Linked DNA regions of Cricetulus griseus. The protein of the gene in region 1 interacts with the protein of each later gene in a biochemical or structural test. Links are inferred from orthologs where the notes say so. Each region holds a gene or a part of one and is shown in the gene's direction. Other genes may lie near its edges. The genes, in order: Tert and Tpp1.

Region 1 (4,417 bases):
CTTTGCCCAGATTCTGGGTGGGGAGAATCCAGTTGGAGTCACTTGCTGCCAGAGCATTACAGGTCCCCAGGGATTTCCTACAGACATGTCTCCCTGTATGGGTAGGGACACTAGGAGTCCTCTACCCCCTTTCCTCGGAGTTTCTAAGCTACCACCTGCTGTCTCTGGCATAGCTCCTGGTGGGCAGCCTCTGCCTGGTCTAGTGTCTGTAAGAACAGCTTTCTAAGCCACACTGTTACTAGCCAGCACACACATCCCTCCCCTGTGTGTGTGTGTGTGTGTGTGTGTGTGTGTGTGTGTGTGTGTGTGTTCACTGGTTCCATCATAGCTCATGGACAGCTTCTACACATGTTTTCTGCTTTGGTTTCTTCTAGTCTTTTTTATTTATTGACTCTGGCCTTGAACCCAGGGTCTCATGTATAGTCAGCACATGCCACCCACTCCCTTTCTCCTCTTTGTCTTTTGAGGCAGAGTCTTAACTTGGCACAAGCTGACCTTAAACTCACTGCGTAGCTGGCCTGGTTTTGAATGGCCCCTCATCATCCTGCCTCCATCTCCCAAGAGCTAGGATTACAATGATGCACCACCATGCCCAGCTATATTCTAATTTTTAAAACTGTTTTTTCAATGCTGGTTTCTTTGGGAAACCACACTAAGGACACTTGGTTGTTGGCACAAATTCCTCAGTTCAGTCCCAAATCTCCAAAGTAGCAGTACTCAGCAAACCTCAAAAACACCCCTAAAAGAGGCTGACACCCACTAAATGGACTTCTAAAATAGCAACTGTAATCCCAAGCATTTAGAAGGCGGCTGACCTCCTACAAGGGAGTAAACATGAAAAAGCGCCTGTCGGGAGGGCTCCAGGTCTGTTCAAATGCTAGGTCGGTGGATAGAAGCAATTTCCTCAGAAAGCTGAAGGCACCAAAGGTTACATTTGTTAGCATTTCAGTGTTTGCCAAATTCAGCACAGATTCTGTATTTCCCAGCGCTTCAAACTTCACAAGGCCCTAGCTGTGGCTCTAGGTAGTGTCACTATTGATGTCCCCGACCCCTAGCGCCAGTGCCCTGTGCCCCCCCCCCCACCCCACACTGTCCCACTCTCAAGTACTGTTAAAGCTACCAGCCTCGAGTTAGAGGGGCTGCTATCCTGAGGTCGAGGTCTCTGCTTTGGCTGTGTGCACACTCAGTGCCCTTGGTCAGTGACTCTGGTCTAGCCACCGTGCCTGAGTGGGAGATGACCAATAGCTCTGGACCCTGGGGTGAAGGCTGCTGTGACAGTAAGAAAAGCGGACGCACAGCTTCACCTGGTCCCCGTCCTTTGGTGGCAGATGTTAAGGAAACCTTTTGGGGAGCTGAGCTTATGGTGGGGCCACAATAAAGCTTTAAGAACCTGTACAGTAGAGTTCCAGCCCTAATTATGAAGCCTTACTGGAAAGAACTGGGACTGCCACCACCCACTGTCTGCACCGAACTCACAGGAGGCAGCAGCCGGCTCTGGAGCAGGATGGACCTTAGATCCCTCTGCCTACAGAACCTTCAATAAATCAATAACAGGTGTCTTTGCTTGCGACCCTGCCCCAGTCTACACCACCTGGGGTCCCCAGCTCCGAGCGCAAGGGAGCCAACAAACTCTCTGTGGAGGGAAACCCTTTGTGACCACACCTCCCTCTGTTATTTTTACATTTCCCGCAACCACTGAACCTTGGGACCACCGACAGAAAGGCGCCATTGGTGCAACCCCGCCTCTTCCGCTACAACGCTTGGTCCGCTTCGATCCCGCCCCTTCCTCCGTCCCGACCCCGCCTTTTCCCGCCGCCGGCTCGCAATGTCCGGGGTCTTGATGCTTTTCTAACCCCAGCCCTACATCGAAGTTCCCGCACGTGGGAGGCCCGGCCGGACCTTGAGCGCGATGCCTCGCTCGCCCCGTTGCCGGGCCGTGCGCGCTCTGCTGCGCAGTCGATACCGCGAGGTGTGGCCGCTGGCAACCTTGGTGCGGCGCCTGGGACCTGAGGGCAGGCGACTTGTACAACCCGGAGACCCAAAAGTCTTCCGCACGTTGGTGGCCCAGTGCCTAGTGTGTGTGCCCTGGGGCTCGCAACCTCCACCTGCTGACCTTTCGTTCCACCAGGTGGGCCTCCGGGTTGGATCCCTGTGGGTCGGGGGCGGAGAGCCGGGAGGACGCGGGACAGCGCGTCTAGCTCAAAACCCTCTTCTCCTTACCAGGTGTCATCACTGAAGGAGCTGGTGGCCAGGGTCGTGCAGAGACTCTGCGAGCGCGGAGAGAGGAACGTGCTGGCTTTTGGCTTTGCGCTTCTTAACGGAGCCCAAGGCGGGCCACCCATGACCTTCACAACCAACGTGCGCAGCTATTTGCCCAACTCGGTGACTGAGTCTCTGCGCGTCAGTGGTGCATGGATGCTTCTGCTGAACCGAGTGGGCGACGACTTGCTGGTCTACCTGCTGGCCCGCTGCGCGCTTTACCTGCTAGTGCCCCCGAGCTGTGCCTACCAGGTGTGCGGCCCACCCCTGTACCAAATCTGTGCCACCGCGGATACTTGTCCCTCTGTGCCCCCCAGTTACAGGCCCACACGATCCGTGGGCAGAAATTTTACTCATCTTGGATCCACACACTCGGTCAGGAACAGCAATCACCAGGAAGCATGTAAACTCTTGCCCTTGCCATCTCGAGGCACAAAGCGGAGTCTAAGCATCACCAATAGAAGTGTGCCTTCATCCAAGAAGGCCAGGTGCGATCTGGCCCAGAGACTGGAGAAGGAACCCGACAGGCAGGCGGTTCCAACCCCATCAGACAAAACAAGGGTGCCAAATCCTGCTGAGTCCCCTGCAGTACCTATTAGTAGAACTACCAAGGAAGATTTGTCTTCCGGAGGGAAGGCACTTGGCCTGAGTCGCCCCGGGTCAGCGTGCTGTAAACACAAGCTCAGTTCCACATTCCTGCAGTCACCACTGTGCCAAGATGCCTTTCGGCTCAGACCATATACTGAGACCAAACACTTCCTGTACTCTAGGGGAGGTGGCCGAGAGAGGCTGAACCCCTCGTTCCTACTCAACAACCTCCAGCCCAGCTTGACTGGGGCCAGGAGACTGGTGGAGATAATCTTTCTAGGCATTAGGCCTAGGACATCAGGACCACTCTGTGGGACACGCCGCCTATCGAGGCGCTACTGGCAGATGCGGCCCCTATTCCAGCAGCTGCTTGTAAACCATGCGCGGTGCCCGTATGTCAGACTCCTCAGGTCACATTGCAGGTTTCCTACAGCAACCCACCAGGTGGCCGATGCCTTGAACACCACCAGCCAGCCGCACCTCATGAATTTGCTCCGCCTACACAGCAGTCCCTGGCAGGTATATGGCTTTCTACGGGCCTGTATCCGAAAGCTGGTGCCTCCAGGTCTCTGGGGTTCCAGGCACAACCAGCGGCGCTTCTTTAAGAATGTGAAGCAATTCATCTCCTTGGGGAAGTATGGCAAGCTCTCTCTGCAAGAGCTGATGTGGAGGATGAAAGTAGAAGACTGCCCCTGGCTTCGCAGCAGCCCAGGTGAGCAGGGCTGGTCTCCAGCTGAATGCAGTAAGGGTCCAAAAAAGGGAGACAATGAGTGGCAGGAGCCCAAGGCCTTAGTGCAGTGTCTTTATGCAGTCAGTGGTTGGGCAAGTCCCATCTGATGATCTCTGACTCCAAGCTCCCTCCCGCCCAGTTTGTGCTAACCAAGATTCTTGTCCAAGCCCTGGGGCAGGTTCTCAGGGCCAGGGACACTGGTGAACAGCAGGTGGAGTGCATAGTGTGGGTAGAAATACTGGCACTCGGTGAGAAGAAGCTCCAGTGAGAGCTGCTACAGGCTATTCTTGATCCCCTTGTGGAACAGTGCCTCGATGCTAAGGCCCCTGTGGTTTAAGGGTTCTGTTTCTCCCAGTGCAAAGACCTATGCGTGAGCTGTAGTGGTGCAGCTGCTCAGTCCACGAAAGGTTTAGGTGGAGAGAGGAGAAATAACGAAAGACTTTCCTACAGTGAAGATCCCTGTCCCATCTTAGTTTTGCAAATGGACCCCAGAAAGGAGAACCGAGCCTGCTGCAGGAAGGGGGACAGTGTTACTTGGGCGGTTGTAGAGCCAGGACTCCTGTGCCCTCCCTGTCCTGGTTTAATGTTAAGGTTGGTCCTCTTCCTTTCAGCAAGCCCTCCTGTCACCAATCTGTGCGTCTATGAAAGGAACCACACTCCCTATGCTGCTGCTCTGTCCTCTCCCAAACTCCTAGGATATTTACAACTTAAGGGGAAAAGATGGCAGAGCCATGTTTACCCACCGTGGGTGATCTCTGGGAGCTCCAGAGTGAGCCTATATCAATACACACACCTGGTTCTCCCAGCTGCAGCAGAGAGCCTCTGTGGCCCTTGTAAGTC
Region 2 (3,030 bases), on another chromosome or scaffold:
CTGTTTCCACAGTTCCTGGAACAGTATTTCCATGACTCAGATTTGACTGAGTTCATGCGCCTGTTTGGTGGCGATTTTGCACACCAGGCATCAGTAGCCAGAGTGGTTGGAAAACAGGGACGAGGCCGAGCTGGGATCGAGGCCAGTCTAGACGTGGAATACCTGATGAGTGCTGGTGCCAACATCTCCACTTGGGTCTACAGTAGCCCTGGTATTACTAACAGAATTAGTTGGGGTGGGGGGAATGGGTTGGTGTAGGCTGTTGATCTCTGCTTCATTTTATCAAGGGGATTCAAGGAGAGTCTAGCAACTCTTTGATGACCATTGGTATCCCTTCTTTTAAAACAATCCAGGCCGGCATGAGGCACAGGAGCCCTTCTTGCAGTGGCTCCTGCTTCTCAGCAATGAGTCAACCTTGCCACATGTACATACTGTGAGTTATGGAGACGATGAAGACTCCCTCAGCAGCATCTACATCCAGAGAGTCAACACCGAGTTCATGAAGGCTGCTGCTCGGGGTCTCACCCTACTTTTTGCCTCAGGTAACCTTCTACCCTAAACTTGGACTTCCCACCTACCCAATCTGGACATGTTGCCCTAGCTGACACTTCAGCCTGGTTTCTGACTCATAGTAGGAATTCAGAGCCTTAACAGGGCCTGACATGACCTGTAAACCCTGACCTGCAATAAGAGGTGACACCTATATTTCTTCTCTGGCATATGAGTCTACACCCCAAGCTCTCACCAACTAATCTGAATATTCAATATGTCTCTCCCAGGTGACACTGGAGCTGGGTGTTGGTCTGTCTCTGGAAGACACAAGTTCCGTCCTAGCTTCCCTGCTTCTAGGTAAGCACCCCTCAAATCTTTCACTTGTGACTTTGACCCCACCAGGTGCCGCTATGGCTCAGCCTTCAGCTTTACCTGTCTCTCAGTAAACCCTGTATGCAGGTTTTTACAGTCTTATTCCCTTTTCCAGTAAGACCCAGACCATACCCACCCATCTCCAGACATCTTGGGGGTCACCCACTATCTGAATACTGTCTTTTCCTTAGCCCCTACGTCACTACAGTAGGCGGCACTTCCTTCAGGAATCCATTCCTCATCACAAATGAAGTAGTTGACTATATCAGTGGTGGAGGCTTCAGCAATGTTTTCCCGCAGCCTTCATACCAGGTTTGTGCACGTTCATTGGATATATGGAGGGTGGGGTGAGGATCCTCAGTCCAGCAGTCAGCTGAACTGGCTACTGACCAATACTCACACTCAGAAATGTCCTGCAGGAGGAAGCAGTGGCCCAGTTCTTGAAGTCCAGCTCTCATCTACCACCATCTAGTTACTTCAATGCTAGTGGCCGTGCCTACCCAGACGTTGCTGCACTTTCTGATGGCTACTGGGTAGTCAGCAACAAGGTCCCCATTCCATGGGTATCTGGAACCTCGGTGAGAATCATCTTGGTTCTGAAACTTCTACGCAGGAACTACCCTCAATCCCTTACCTATAAAATCTTGCACCCAGAACCCCTGACTCCTTAGACTTCTGACCTTTGCAAGCATCATTCCTCAAAAGTCTAAAAACTCTGAAACCCTGACCTATTCTTGCATCTCCATCTTGCAGGCCTCTACTCCAGTGTTTGGGGGAATTTTATCCTTGATAAATGAACACAGAATACTCAATGGCCGCCCCCCTCTTGGCTTTCTCAATCCAAGACTTTATCAGCAGCATGGAGCAGGACTGTTTGATGTAAGTGTTGGAGGAAAGAGGGTGGATGTTGTCAGAGGATATGGGTAGGAATAATGTGAACTTGGGGCATTTTTGCTTTATGGTATTGCCTCTGTGATATGAATATAAATAAGGTGCAGTCTAAGAGTATGGGTACCAGCATGCCCAGATCTGATGTTCACTACCTCTTCCCAGGTAACCCATGGCTGCCATGAGTCCTGTCTGAATGAAGAAGTGGAGGGTCAGGGTTTCTGCTCTGGTCCTGGCTGGGATCCTGTGACAGGTTGGGGAACTCCCAACTTCCCTGCCCTACTGAAGACTCTACTCAACCCTTGACCCTTTCTTGCTGGGAAAGTAGAATTGTCCCCTCTGCTACAGGAGAAGGCTTAGTCCCTTATTCTGCCTCAATGGAAGCCCTGTGAAACTCTTAACTCTTGCCTCCTGCAGCCATCTTTTCCCTAACCCTCAAACGCTGTGAGCAGCACTTGACTCCCAACCCTACTGTGCTGCATCAAACTCAGGTCTCCTAACTCAACAAGATGCTATAACCAGGTTATTTTGTCTCACCCTTCCCCATCTTCCTCTTTCCAACTTGAGATGTGAAAGGAAGATGAGGAGGTTGTCTCCCATTATTGATACTAGCAGGCCCTGGGGGTGGGGGTGGGGGATGGGGGGGTGGTTACCACCTCTGCACTGACTGTATGCTCTGTTTCTCTTCAAGTTTCCTTCTCAATTCACTGGAATGAGACCTTTGCTACTAATTGTTTAGTCTTTCTTCCCCTGGCACTGAGGTGTAATTGTCTCCCTGACATTTTATCCAGTATACACTTCTCAATCCTTGTTTTATGCTTTTTTTTTTTTTTTAAAGAACAGGTTGCCAACAATCTCATATTCTAAAGACAGTTAAAAGTTTGTAAACTCCAAGTGTTTTAAACATGTTCTCATTGGCAAAATTTCTCAACAAAATAAACAGGTCGTTACAAATGGATGTCACCTTTAAATTTTGCTTCAACAAATTTTTTTAAATTTACATTTTATTTCCCCCTTCTTGGCTACAGTAAAGCAACATTGGGATATTTGCAAACATCTAGCTTCTGTGAACTTGGGCTTTCGCTCTTTCCATCAGTTCCCTGTTCATCCTTTTTCCTTAGCCTCCAGTGCATACCCACTCTAACCATACCAGCTAGCCTCCTTTTCTTCTAACTCCTGGAATTCAGTGTTCTTCATTGCTCCAGCCTTAATTTTTTGGCTCTTATTTCATTCATCATCCCTAAAACACATCACTGACATCTATATCCACAGTGATTG

The links.
Region 2: the proteins of Tert (region 1) and Tpp1 form a complex in vitro, tested with the Homo sapiens proteins (2 studies listed by BioGRID and IntAct). The link is inferred for Cricetulus griseus from reciprocal best matches to the Homo sapiens genes TERT and TPP1.

Annotation. Positions count from the first base shown.
Region 1 is NC_048595.1:368,299,554-368,303,970, forward strand, and holds the start of Tert (telomerase reverse transcriptase), read left to right. Parts: upstream 1-1,524; 5' UTR 1,525-1,909; coding exon 1,910-2,128; intron 2,129-2,223; coding exon 2,224-3,559; intron 3,560-4,417. UniProt on the Homo sapiens protein: Telomerase is a ribonucleoprotein enzyme essential for the replication of chromosome termini in most eukaryotes. Active in progenitor and cancer cells. Inactive, or very low activity, in normal somatic cells.
Region 2 is NC_048596.1:93,954,905-93,957,934, forward strand, and holds the end of Tpp1 (tripeptidyl-peptidase 1), read left to right. Parts: intron 1-12; coding exon 13-211; intron 212-353; coding exon 354-542; intron 543-779; coding exon 780-849; intron 850-1,055; coding exon 1,056-1,176; intron 1,177-1,283; coding exon 1,284-1,442; intron 1,443-1,617; coding exon 1,618-1,743; intron 1,744-1,917; coding exon 1,918-2,058; 3' UTR 2,059-2,278; downstream 2,279-3,030. UniProt on the Homo sapiens protein: Lysosomal serine protease with tripeptidyl-peptidase I activity. May act as a non-specific lysosomal peptidase which generates tripeptides from the breakdown products produced by lysosomal proteinases. Requires substrates with an unsubstituted N-terminus.